Coturnix japonica: one gene and its partners. The main gene of each other region encodes a partner of the protein of the gene in region 3 in a complex. Links are inferred from orthologs where the notes say so. Each region holds a gene or a part of one and is shown on either strand. Other genes may lie near its edges.

Evidence for each region.
Region 1: the proteins of MAPK8IP1 (region 3) and MAPK10 are in contact, whole or in part, in a crystal structure (PDB 3PTG), measured with the Homo sapiens proteins. The link is inferred for Coturnix japonica from reciprocal best matches to the Homo sapiens genes MAPK8IP1 and MAPK10. Residues at the interface, in NP_005447.1 of Homo sapiens: Pro158, Lys159, Arg160, Pro161, Thr162, Thr163, Leu164, Asn165, Leu166; in NP_620448.1 of Homo sapiens: Asp150, Ala151, Gln155, Val156, Met159, Leu161, Glu164, Arg165, Tyr168, Leu169, Tyr171, Val197, Lys198, Ser199, Asp200, Cys201, Trp362, Asp364, Glu367.
Region 2: the proteins of MAPK8IP1 (region 3) and MAPK8 are in contact, whole or in part, in a crystal structure (PDB 3VUM), measured with the Homo sapiens proteins. The link is inferred for Coturnix japonica from reciprocal best matches to the Homo sapiens genes MAPK8IP1 and MAPK8. Residues at the interface, in NP_005447.1 of Homo sapiens: Arg157, Pro158, Lys159, Arg160, Pro161, Thr162, Thr163, Leu164, Asn165, Leu166; in NP_001310257.1 of Homo sapiens: Lys83, Asp112, Ala113, Gln117, Val118, Met121, Leu123, Glu126, Arg127, Tyr130, Tyr133, Val159, Lys160, Ser161, Asp162, His286, Val323, Trp324, Asp326, Glu329.

The regions. Positions count from the first base shown.
Region 1 is NC_029519.1:40,883,407-40,886,926, forward strand, and holds part of MAPK10 (mitogen-activated protein kinase 10), read right to left. Parts: intron 3,478-3,520; coding exon 3,353-3,477; intron 2,332-3,352; coding exon 2,268-2,331; intron 1,554-2,267; coding exon 1,476-1,553; intron 557-1,475; coding exon of another isoform or gene 552-556; coding exon 409-551; 3' UTR 1-408. UniProt on the Homo sapiens protein: Serine/threonine-protein kinase involved in various processes such as neuronal proliferation, differentiation, migration and programmed cell death.
Region 2 is NC_029521.1:15,712,384-15,715,903, forward strand, and holds part of MAPK8 (mitogen-activated protein kinase 8), read left to right. Parts: intron 1-250; coding exon 251-433; intron 434-1,960; coding exon 1,961-2,085; intron 2,086-3,096; coding exon 3,097-3,160; intron 3,161-3,520. UniProt on the Homo sapiens protein: Serine/threonine-protein kinase involved in various processes such as cell proliferation, differentiation, migration, transformation and programmed cell death.
Region 3 is NC_029520.1:21,393,962-21,397,481, reverse strand, and holds part of MAPK8IP1 (C-Jun-amino-terminal kinase-interacting protein 1), read left to right. Parts: intron 1-418; coding exon 419-652; intron 653-1,643; coding exon 1,644-1,754; intron 1,755-2,312; coding exon 2,313-2,394; intron 2,395-2,591; coding exon 2,592-3,467; intron 3,468-3,520. UniProt on the Homo sapiens protein: The JNK-interacting protein (JIP) group of scaffold proteins selectively mediates JNK signaling by aggregating specific components of the MAPK cascade to form a functional JNK signaling module. Required for JNK activation in response to excitotoxic stress.

The DNA of each region.
Region 1 (3,520 bases), on a different chromosome or scaffold from region 3:
GGAGACAACAGAGCAGGGTGAGGGCAGATCCGCACTGGTGTGTTGTGAAGTGGCACTGCGCACCTTGTCATGCCAGCGTGAGAGGACAGCTGTGGGTCGCTGGTTTTGCAGCCATTAATTTTGCATCTTGTAAGGGTGGAAAAAAACCAAAAAGGATTTAAAGAATCCTTTTCCTCCCCCACCCCAGAAAGCATCATTGGAAGAAGACCAAAGCAGAGCAACTATGAGTTACATACACACTTGAGCTGAGCTGCATTACATAGCTCTGTAGGAGAAGCAGGCGGAAAAGATTTGTTTGTTTCGTTTAAATCTGTGCATTTTATTTCCCTCCGTCCCTTAGCTCTGTTGCTTTCCCTCTGGATGCTATCACCCCCTGAAGAAGGCGGGGTTCCGCAGGCAGGCGGCTAGTCACCTGCAGCACCCCAGTGGCCCCGCCGACGCTTCCAGGCTGCTGTCCGTGTCGGACGCCAGCGTCTGATCCGTGGACATGGAGGAGATGTCATTGGCCGATGAGGATGGGGGGAGGCTCTCGCTGCTGTTCACTGCTGCACCTGTGCTACGAAAATGAACACCACCGTGATTCAACCCGAAACCTCAGAACCTCTCACAGGTCAAATAGAGGAGAATGCAACCCTGTGGCAATGTTCAGAGCGTTCTGAACAACATGAGCAGAAAATGGGCCCTACCGGCTTCAGACATTGGGTAATGTCAGATATTTTACCCAGAAAATCTCTCCCTCAGCAGTCTCTTTGAAAGGGGTACAGTTCATGCCATATCCTAACCCTCGGTTTCTTATCAAGCCATCTTATTGTGCTCAACATCCCATCCTTGTCACTCCTTAACACTTCTTATCAGTCTCCTCAGCGTTACCAACACCCAACAATCAGATGTCATCTGGGATTATGTGGGTTATCAGCATGAGGACTCAAAGAGCAAACTAACAAGCAAACCCAACCATGCAAACACAGCAGCCCTCCAATATGTGGGCTAGCATGAGATCATATGGTGGCAATGCAGACACAGGAGTGGGGAGACAAAGCTGCTTTGTCTCTTAGTTAAGGACCAGGTGCCCAAGTTCAGGATTTTGGTTGTGACAGCATTTTTGTGCATCACAGTTCACTTGTCCTCTGTAAAATGACAGCATTAACCTTCACAATCATTCTGACTCTGCAAAATGATGAACCTCCATGAAGTTATCAGTAACACAAGTAAACATCTATCATAAACATAAATATTATTTACCACTGTTACCAGGGCAGCTCAGTCCCAAATTCCAAGCAGACCCCATTTCAAGCATTAACATAGCACTGCAGTTCCATTAATAAAGCTCAACCCACTAAATCACTGAATTGCCCTGAAACCTCTGAAATTAGTCTACGTAGCTTCTGGTGCACCTGAATGCTTTATCTGTTTCTGTTTTCTTTCTGTCAACACAGAAAGGAGACACAACTGCGCCATTCACTGGGGCTGAGTACCTGAAGGAGACGGCTGTCCTTTTACTACGCCATTTTTCGTTTTTTCTTCAGAATTCATTACTTCTTTGTAGATGAGTTCTGGAACAGACAATTCCAACAGTTACAAACAAGAACAGTACCGGTCATCAGCAACAACAAAATCCTCTGATGCCCCCCATAGTCCAACCCTATCCTGTCCTCCTAAGTTCTGACAGCTCTGCTCACATAAAACCTCTCTCTTCCATTCCTCTCCTCTACTGACAGCTCTTCTTGGAGCTGTATTAAGACAAACAGGGCTACGCTAGAACACATTCGTTGTTTCACGCTGCTTTAAGTAGAAATGGAGCAGTACAGCTTTGCTATATGAAAAATGATGGCGTATCTTCCTGTTAAACCAGCACCCCGTTTTCTAGGTGATAACATTTCAATGAAACAACATAATCTGCACCTCCCTTCTCAATGCTGATCTGTGCTGACAATGACAGTACCCAGGATATTCGTATCTGTGAGGGCTGCTCCAAAAGTAAGGCCATGCAGATTTTCACAAAAGCAGCATGCAGGCTGGCCTCATTGCTTGTGAAAATGCATAAGTAATGAAGGTGACTACATTGAAAAACAGCAGGTTTTGAGTTGTTGTTGTATCTGTTGTAGTTTTCAAGGGAACAAATCGAGGCATTGCTTTCAGAGTGACCTATGCAATATTTTCACTATCAAGCAGCGGTTCTTAGGGCTGGGTTTGGTTCTTGATGCCAGAGGAGTTACGCAGACACACGTGGGATGGGACCTCTCCACCTAACTCTGAGCTGTGCGCACCTTTCCACTCCTCAATGGTGTGCTCCCGCTCGTCCAGTTGTTTGTCATAGATCTGGGGGGGCGGCTGCAGAAGAGGAACAAAATCGTTCAATATATTTTTCACTATACCATAAATAATTAGCACTACTTACTTAGGTAAAGATAAATTTTCCTCTCCCTCTTTGTTCATTATCCCATGTGTGCAAAACACCCAAACATGAATATTAGAAGTGTTAACATCTCTGGAAATCAGCTCTTAATATGGACAGTGCTTCTCCCTCATCCTCTTCAGAACATGAGGCTGCAATGTGTTGCAAAATCTGCAAATTACAGAACTGTGCTGCAATGGGATTTGGTCAGTGCTGCCATCATTCTGCTTGTGCCAAGCCCATAAATCCCATATGCAGAACTTTTGCACAGGCAAAGGACAATCAGAGCACCAAACAGACAGCAGTCCAGAATAACTCGCACTGACATTTTTAAGGCTGTGTATTAAATACCATAGCTCATGAGTAAGCAACCTTTGGGTCCACCTGGGCTGTACTGAGTGAAGAGGAATTTTTTTGGGCCACATATAGAACATAGACTATAGTTAACGTAAACAAGGAACAAAACATGAGACTAGTGAGATATTTGACCTTGCTCTTGTGAAACTAATGCATCTGTCAGGTTCCATGGAAGTGGCTGCAGTTCTAAGTCTGCACTCTAGATTGATGAAACTTTTTGTTTTTTAAAGAAAATAAGCCCACAGAGTTAAAGGTTCTGTAGATGGCAAAGCCATTCCCTACGGAGCACCTCTGAGCCATGTATTGTGCAAAAACTCATGCAGTAAAAAACTGGTGGTTATTTTGTTGTTGTTCTGCAGGGATTGGGGCCTTATTTTCCCATTGCTATCAGTTGGATTTCTTCCACTGCAGATGGAGTGCTCTTTCCATACACTGCTTTCAAACACCTCTGAGTTTTTACCTATGCATGCTATTTCATGTCCCATAGCCCAGGAACACACATGAGCCCATACATCATCATCCATCATTTTAGGAATTTATGTCATAAAGCACCATCCCCACGTTTTTCCAGCCTGCAGCACAGAGCTGCATCCCACTCACCGCCTCCACCTCGGCGGGGTCGTACCAGACGTTGATGTATGGGTGCTGCAGGGCCTCATCCACTGATATGCGCTTGGCTGGATCAATGACCAGCATTTTGGACAGCAGGTCCCGAGCTTGGCTGGCTGCAGAACAGACAGCATGAAAACACTGTGATTGGCACCAAAA
Region 2 (3,520 bases), on a different chromosome or scaffold from region 3:
ACTTCCTCTGTTTTGCAGAAGTATATCCTTTGCCAGTTATTTCTTATTATTTCAAGTAAAATACATCTTGCTTTCAATACTCAGATGCAGTCTTGTGTTGCTTCTCTTTTTTCTCTATGAAGATACTCCTAATTAATGGTGAAGTTGAGATTGTGTGGTAATTTTCTGTTTTAATTTCTGTTGGTCATTTGTTTTAACATAACTGTTAGCTGAAAATTAGACACTGTTTTTCTTAGCTATGAAACCTTAGATATTGATCAATGGAATAAAGTTATAGAGCAGCTAGGAACACCGTGCCCCGAATTTATGAAGAAATTACAGCCCACAGTTCGAACTTACGTGGAGAACAGACCCAAGTATGCTGGATACAGCTTTGAGAAACTCTTTCCAGATGTCCTTTTCCCAGCTGATTCTGAACACAACAAACTTAAAGGTAAGGTCTGCCTTTTGTGTGCTGTATGTTTTTAAAGTTTTTAAACTGTGTCATACTGAATAGAAATGCATCTTGCTTTTGTTCAATATAAAATCCTCCTGTTAAGGATTTAAGTGTTAAAATATTTATGTAATGGGGGCAGATGGAAGTGCTAAGGTATGGTTACTGCCACTTCCTCATATTCTCTGGAATAGCTCCTATTCTTTAGATATCTGAATAAAGAAACAGGAGTGTATTTCTCACAATAACAGACGTGGGTTAGAGAAAAATGAGAGGAGAGGGGAGTGTAGATGTTTCATAGCCACAGTGGACCTTCTGTACTGCCAGCAGGTAAGGATGCCATGTCCAGGGTGGTGTATACTGAAACCCTGGTGGGAGACATCTGTCACTTGATGTGATCGTGGTAAGGCCTTTGTGTCAGGCCTATATATGAATACTTTGCCCATAGAAAAATAATTAAAAAAAATACAAACCTCAGCTATACCTTGAAACTCATAACATATTTTACGTATTATATCCTTTCGGATCATCACAACCAATGCTTTTCCTTCTTCAGCATTTATCTTTCAAGCACTTCAGAAATGTTCTCTCTCTCCTTCCAATCTGATGAACTATTATTACTTTGTACAATTACTTTCAATCTTCATAGTGATGACTTCAGCATTTAGCTGAATTTGAATATCCCTTTCTAAAAGGGAACTTAGCTAACTGAAAGAAAAGGTTGATGGAAGTTGCAGTGTTGCAGCTGGATGTTGCATAGAAATGACTTGATGGCTTTGTGGCATACTGTGTTTCCATCCAGATGATTTACTAGCCTTACATTGAAATGGCCACTTTAATTAATGGACACTCTATTTGTCTTCAGTGTATTTGTGTGGTTTTCCTTCTTTTTATTGCATTTTGTTTCTTGTCTGTGTTTGGCCAGTAAAGATTTTTCTCCTAGCTGGAGGTTATCCCTTCTCATATTTCAGCCAATCTTTGCTTAAGCAAAAATAATGGGTGCTTTCTTTTTCTACTCTGTTTTGCTGAGGAAGAAAAGAGAGATTAGAAAAAGATGTAGGAAGGAGGAGTTATTGGTTATGTCCATTTTTGCCCAGTCCTCTATTTTTAAAACGAAATCTTTTATAACTATTTTCTAGTCTTCTGTTAGTTTCCCAGCTCCTATTCTCAAATTACTATTTAAATTATTATTGTCCTGCTAACAAGCCTGATAAATAAGAAACATTCTGTGGTTGGTGTTCCCTTGCCTGCTTGTAGGACGATTGTGCACAGTTGCTGTAGAACTATCTTCCATGGAATGTTTTACTTTTTTTCTAAATACTACACAGTCATAAATTCTTTCCAAAACATTTATCTCTTTGTTTTCCTTCCTTCATCAAAAGCACCATTTTCTTAAACCTCAAAGTACATGAGGGTTGTATAAATAATAAAATGGAGTTTGTTATTTAAGCGTTCTTTCTTTATGAGCTTTGAAATACTGTTATGTGCATTTGGCACCTGTCTAAATAGAACGTTTCACTTTTGCAGCAAGTCAAGCAAGGGATTTGTTATCAAAAATGCTTGTAGTAGATCCAGACAAGAGAATTTCCGTTGATGAGGCCTTACGTCACCCTTATATTACTGTCTGGTATGATCCGTCAGAAGCCGAAGCTGTAAGTCCTTGTTTTTGGTCTCCAATGAGGAAGATCTTTTATCAAAGCAAACTTGTTTCGATTCTCTGTGTAACTGCTTCAGAGGAGGCTGCTTCGTGCTCTTCCAGTTTCGCTAGAAGCTTAATTGAACAGTAGTAATATTTTTTGACATGGTCGATATGTTTATTGGAATTAGTAATAGGAATGGGCACAGACTTGTAGGTAGCTGCAGTACTTGTGTATGTGGTTTATGTATAATTGCATGTAAATTCCTAGACATGGAGCAATGAATTTGAAGTCTCCGATATAGAGTTCTGATTTATTGAGTTGTAGTTGTTTCAACATGGTTTTTCTGCTTGTGATTGCATTCCACGTGTTTTCTCCTGGGCATTGTTACAGCAATTGATAGCACTCTTTAACTAGCAAATAATAAGCGTTTCGTCAAAATCTGATACAAGATCTCAAGCTTTGAATTACTGACACTGATGAAGGAAGAGATTAACTGAAAATCTTCCTTTAAAAAATAATTTCAGTCTATCTATCTATCTATCTATCTATCTATCTATCTATCTATCACAAAAAAAAAAAAAAAAAACCCCAAAAAAAAACCCAACTCTCATTTTTAAGAAAAAGCAAGCTGGTGATGGCCCACAAAGAATCAGGAAAGATGTTTGGTGTAAGTGGTACAATTAGAATTCTGCTGATCTATTATATCTAGAGAGAATATGAATAAGCAACTCTAAATAGGTCAAAAGGACTGCTTGAGACCACTGCAGTTTAAGAGCATTATTACCAGCCCTTTCAGTTTTTGTTTTAATTTTTACACTAACATTCACAAATGAGCTAACTAGAACAAGTTGAAAACACAAAGCAGCATCTAGAAAATGAACCGTGTATGAGAGATTATTTGATTATGTAAATACGGTATTTTTAAATCAGGTTCTTATTCTGAATATCTTATTTCCATTTTTCATTAATTGTGCTTGTCTGTCCCCTTTGACTGCTTTATCATGAGTTAGTTCTGTTTTCCAGCCTCCACCAAAGATACCAGATAAGCAGTTAGATGAGAGGGAGCACACAATAGAAGAATGGAAAGGTGAGAATGATCCTTTTGCATATCCTAAAGGTTTTTAATGTTGATGGGCTCCTAGGTTTACTGTTACTAAGATTCTGAGTAATGTAATAGTATATACTTAAACTGCTTGGAATGGCAAGGGAATAGATCAGTGCTTTACAACCTCTTGGTTGTCAGGACAGGAAACATTTTCTGTAAAGGTGAAGAGTCTTTGTAGGGAGATGAAGGTCACTCAGCTGTAGGCCTACTCATTTGAATTGCCTTTCATAAATGGTAAAGCAGCATTTTTAGAAAGGGAAACACTTCTGGACAAAAGTCGTATGGGTGAAAAGGGATGAATGAGTTGGAGCATGCAAGTCTGAACATTAGTGTGTTTAGCAT
Region 3 (3,520 bases):
ACAACCCATTAACATGGACCAACAGCAGCTGTAGTTTCCTTTTAGCTATTGAATCCTGAACGTAGCACTGCTCCTACAGCGTATGTTGCTCAAACTGTTTTGCTGTTCTGCATCCTTCTGGGACTTTCCTCCTCTGAGTTTTCCCAGTGATTCGGGATCATACCAGCAGCCTGGGCTGGCTGGCAGCAGCAGCCCACCTTAGCTAGGTATCACGGAGCCAGCCGGGGATCCCCCCCCTCCTTTTCCTATGCGTGTTTCCTTGTTAAAGCTCGAAGCGTCCGAGAAGAGGCGCGTCAGTGGGGGGGGGCTTGGAGGGAGAGCGGCGGGGAGCATCCCTGCGCCTTTAAAAGGCTGCGACCGGCCGCCCGGTCCCGTCCCGTCCCGCCCCGCCCGCTGACCGAGCCGCTGATCCCGGCAGGGCCGCGTGAGCCGGGCGGCCAGCGCGGCGCGGGCGGCGGGCGGCGGGGAGGGAGGCCGACTGCAGGCCGAGATGCTGCAGCTCGACCTCATCGACGCCGCCGGGGATGCGCCGGCTGAGGAGCAGACGGCGCCCGAGCCCCTGCAAAAGGAGCCGCCGCCCGCCAGCACCGACAGCTACCGGCCCAAGCGCCCCACCACGCTCAACCTCTTCCCGCAGGTGCCTCGCAGCCAGGTGAGCGCCGGCACGGGGGGATCTCGCGGCGCTGGGGGATTCTGTCGGGGATGGGTGCGTGGTCGGGGACGTGGAGGGATGCGGGGGGAGATGAGCTCGTTTCCTGCTGAGCCGAGCCCCTCCGAGCGTGGGGAGGCTTAAGGGTGGGCTGTGCCCGCCCCGGGCCCGTAGGGCCAGGGTAAGGGGACAGGGAGCGGGGAAGGGACCTTAGTGGGGACGGGGAGCTAATGAGGCGTGGCAGCCTGAACGCGTGAATGAGCCATCCGTCCCAGCGCCGCGTCCCAGATCTGGGGCTGCCAGCGCCGCAGCCGCAGCCTGGGACGGGCCGGTGACGCAGCCCTGTGCGTGCGCTCGGCTCTGGGACTGGGGCCCTTCTCCTGGGCGGCTACACCCGGCTAGGGGGGCATCGGTGTCAGCGCCCCGTGCAAAATCGCAGCGACAGTCGCATTACCCGAAATGGTGGTCAGGAGAATGGGGGTTTGTCTCGCTCACTCTCAGGGCTTGCAGGAGGTTTTGGATGGGGTGTTTTCCCAGATGCAGTAGTGGGGCTGTCCCCAGGAGAGTTACGCTGGAGTCCCTTGGCCCCATCTCTCCTGCAAACCTTGCAGACCTGCACAAGGTGTGCTGCACACAGGGCTATTTTTGCCTTCCTCCTGCTTTCAGCAGTGGCTTCTCTTGCCAAGTAGGAGGATTTTCATGGCAGTGACGTGCAGCTGAGGGGCTTGAAGCTAGAGGCAGGTGTCCCTGCGGGTGACAGATGGGGCGTAGTCGGAGCTAGGTGTCACCAGCCTGGAACCTGCAGCTGATGCCAGCTCTGCCTGAGGCCATGGGTGGGAGGAGGAGGAGGAGGGCACAGAGCCAGGACAATGGCTGCGGGGCAGCTGGCACCGGGGACAAAGGCAGCAGGGATGGGGAGGTGGGGGGTGGGGGGGAGCCTGCTGGAGCATAATGGACAAGGGGACAGCAGGCAGCCTTGTCCCACCCTGCGCAGGGACCCCGAGGAGCCGGTGGCACGTGGGAGCCACATCCAGCTGGGGGGACGGGGACGGCAAAGGCCCCCCCCGGGCAGCTGGTCCCAACCAGCGTCCAGACCTGCGGAGAGGTATTTTTGGGGTGTGTGGGTTGTATAGATGGTGGGCTGGGGAGGGGAGATGATGGTGTCCTTGCAGGGGATGGTGGAGGCTGTGGGACCACACTGGGATCCATGGGTGTGGTCTGTGCTGAGGACTTTGGGGACAGGAGCTTTCCCACACAGGTCTGATAAAGCTGGCAGCAGGAACATGGAGTGCCTGTGCTCCAGGACAGGGAATCCCATGGATCTTAGTGGGCATTAAGGCAGAGGGTTGCTTGCAGGAGAAAACCCCAAGAATCCCAAGCTTGATGCTTGAGCAAAAACTAGCAGCACAGAAAATGTGGCTGCTGCAGAGGGACAAAGACTTGTGCTGCCCCCAGAACCATCTGCAAAGTCTGGGAGCAAAGTGTGCACTGGTTGCACTTGAGAATGGTCACAGCGACCCTGAGGAAGTGCTTGGGTGGTCTCAGGCATTGCCCAGGGACCGTGATGGCTCTGGCTTCTGCACATCTCTGTGGGGCAGGCAGGGACAGGCGCCACGTGCTGTTTACTGCTGGAGTGACAAGGCGGCTTTGTTCTCCTCCCCAGGACACCCTGAATAACAACTCTCTGGGGAAAAAGCACAGTTGGCAAGAGCGGGTGTCCCGGTCATCGTCCCCTCTGAAGACGGGTGAGTTGTGGGGCTGGTAACTGAGAGCAGCCCCTTGCACTCTTTGGTAGCTCCTAGGAGTCAATCCTTGGCCCAGGGCTGGGGCCAAGCCTTGCCGAAACAGAGGGTTGGGAGACTGTCCCCAGTGGGCATGTGTCCAGCTTGAGTCTGGGGCATCCCTATCAGTGGGAGCACAAATACTGCTCTTCTCCTCACAGGTGAACAGACCCCTCCCCATGACCACGTTTGCCTGAGTGATGAGGTCAATCACCAAAACAGCACAACCTCCACCAAAGACCGGGGCACATCCACGGAGAGCCCATGCCGGCGCACGGCAGCCACCCAGATGGCACCCGCCTGCGTTGCCTCATCCCGGCCCCCCGAGAAGCACCAGGCTGCCAGCCGACCCCCACCCCACGGTGCCAGTGTGGTGGTGGTGACGTCGAGGGCTCCCGAGGCCCACCGGGACCGCATCCGCTACCAGACAGATGTGAGGCTGGAGGCCACTGAGGAGATCTACCTGACACCTGTGCAGAAGAACTCAGACCCGCTGGAGACCGAAAAGCCGTTCCTGTCACAGTCCAGTGAGAACCGTATGTCTATCAGCTCCGATATCGACACTTCCAGCTATTCAGCCCTGGCTGGGAAAACCAACCCCTCCATCAGTGAGGAGGATGAGGTGCTGGACTACATGTCCTCCCCTGACAAGACGAGCCTGCCCCGGGCCTCCTGCGGCGGTGGGAGCAGTGGCTACCGGCCAGGCCACGGCCTTCAGAGAGCATCCGTGAGCTCGGACACCAGTGCCCTCTCCTACGACTCGGTCAAGTACACGCTGGTGGTGGATGAGAACGTGCAGCTGGAGCTGGTCAGCCTCAAGCAGTGCTACTCGGGCTACAGTGATGAGAGTGACTCGGCTACTGTCTATGACAACTGCGTCTCCTCACCCTACGAGTCAGCCATCGGCGAGGAGTATGAGGAGGATGCGCTGAAGCGTGACTCGGTCTGCCTCTCTGAGGACTCCACCCCTGAGGCGGACATTCATTTCTCCAAGAAGTTCCTCAACGTCTTCATGAGTGGCCGGTCGCGTTCCTCCAGTGAGTGCTAGGCAGGGAGAGGATGTGGGCTGAGGGCTGCACCCCCTGGCAGC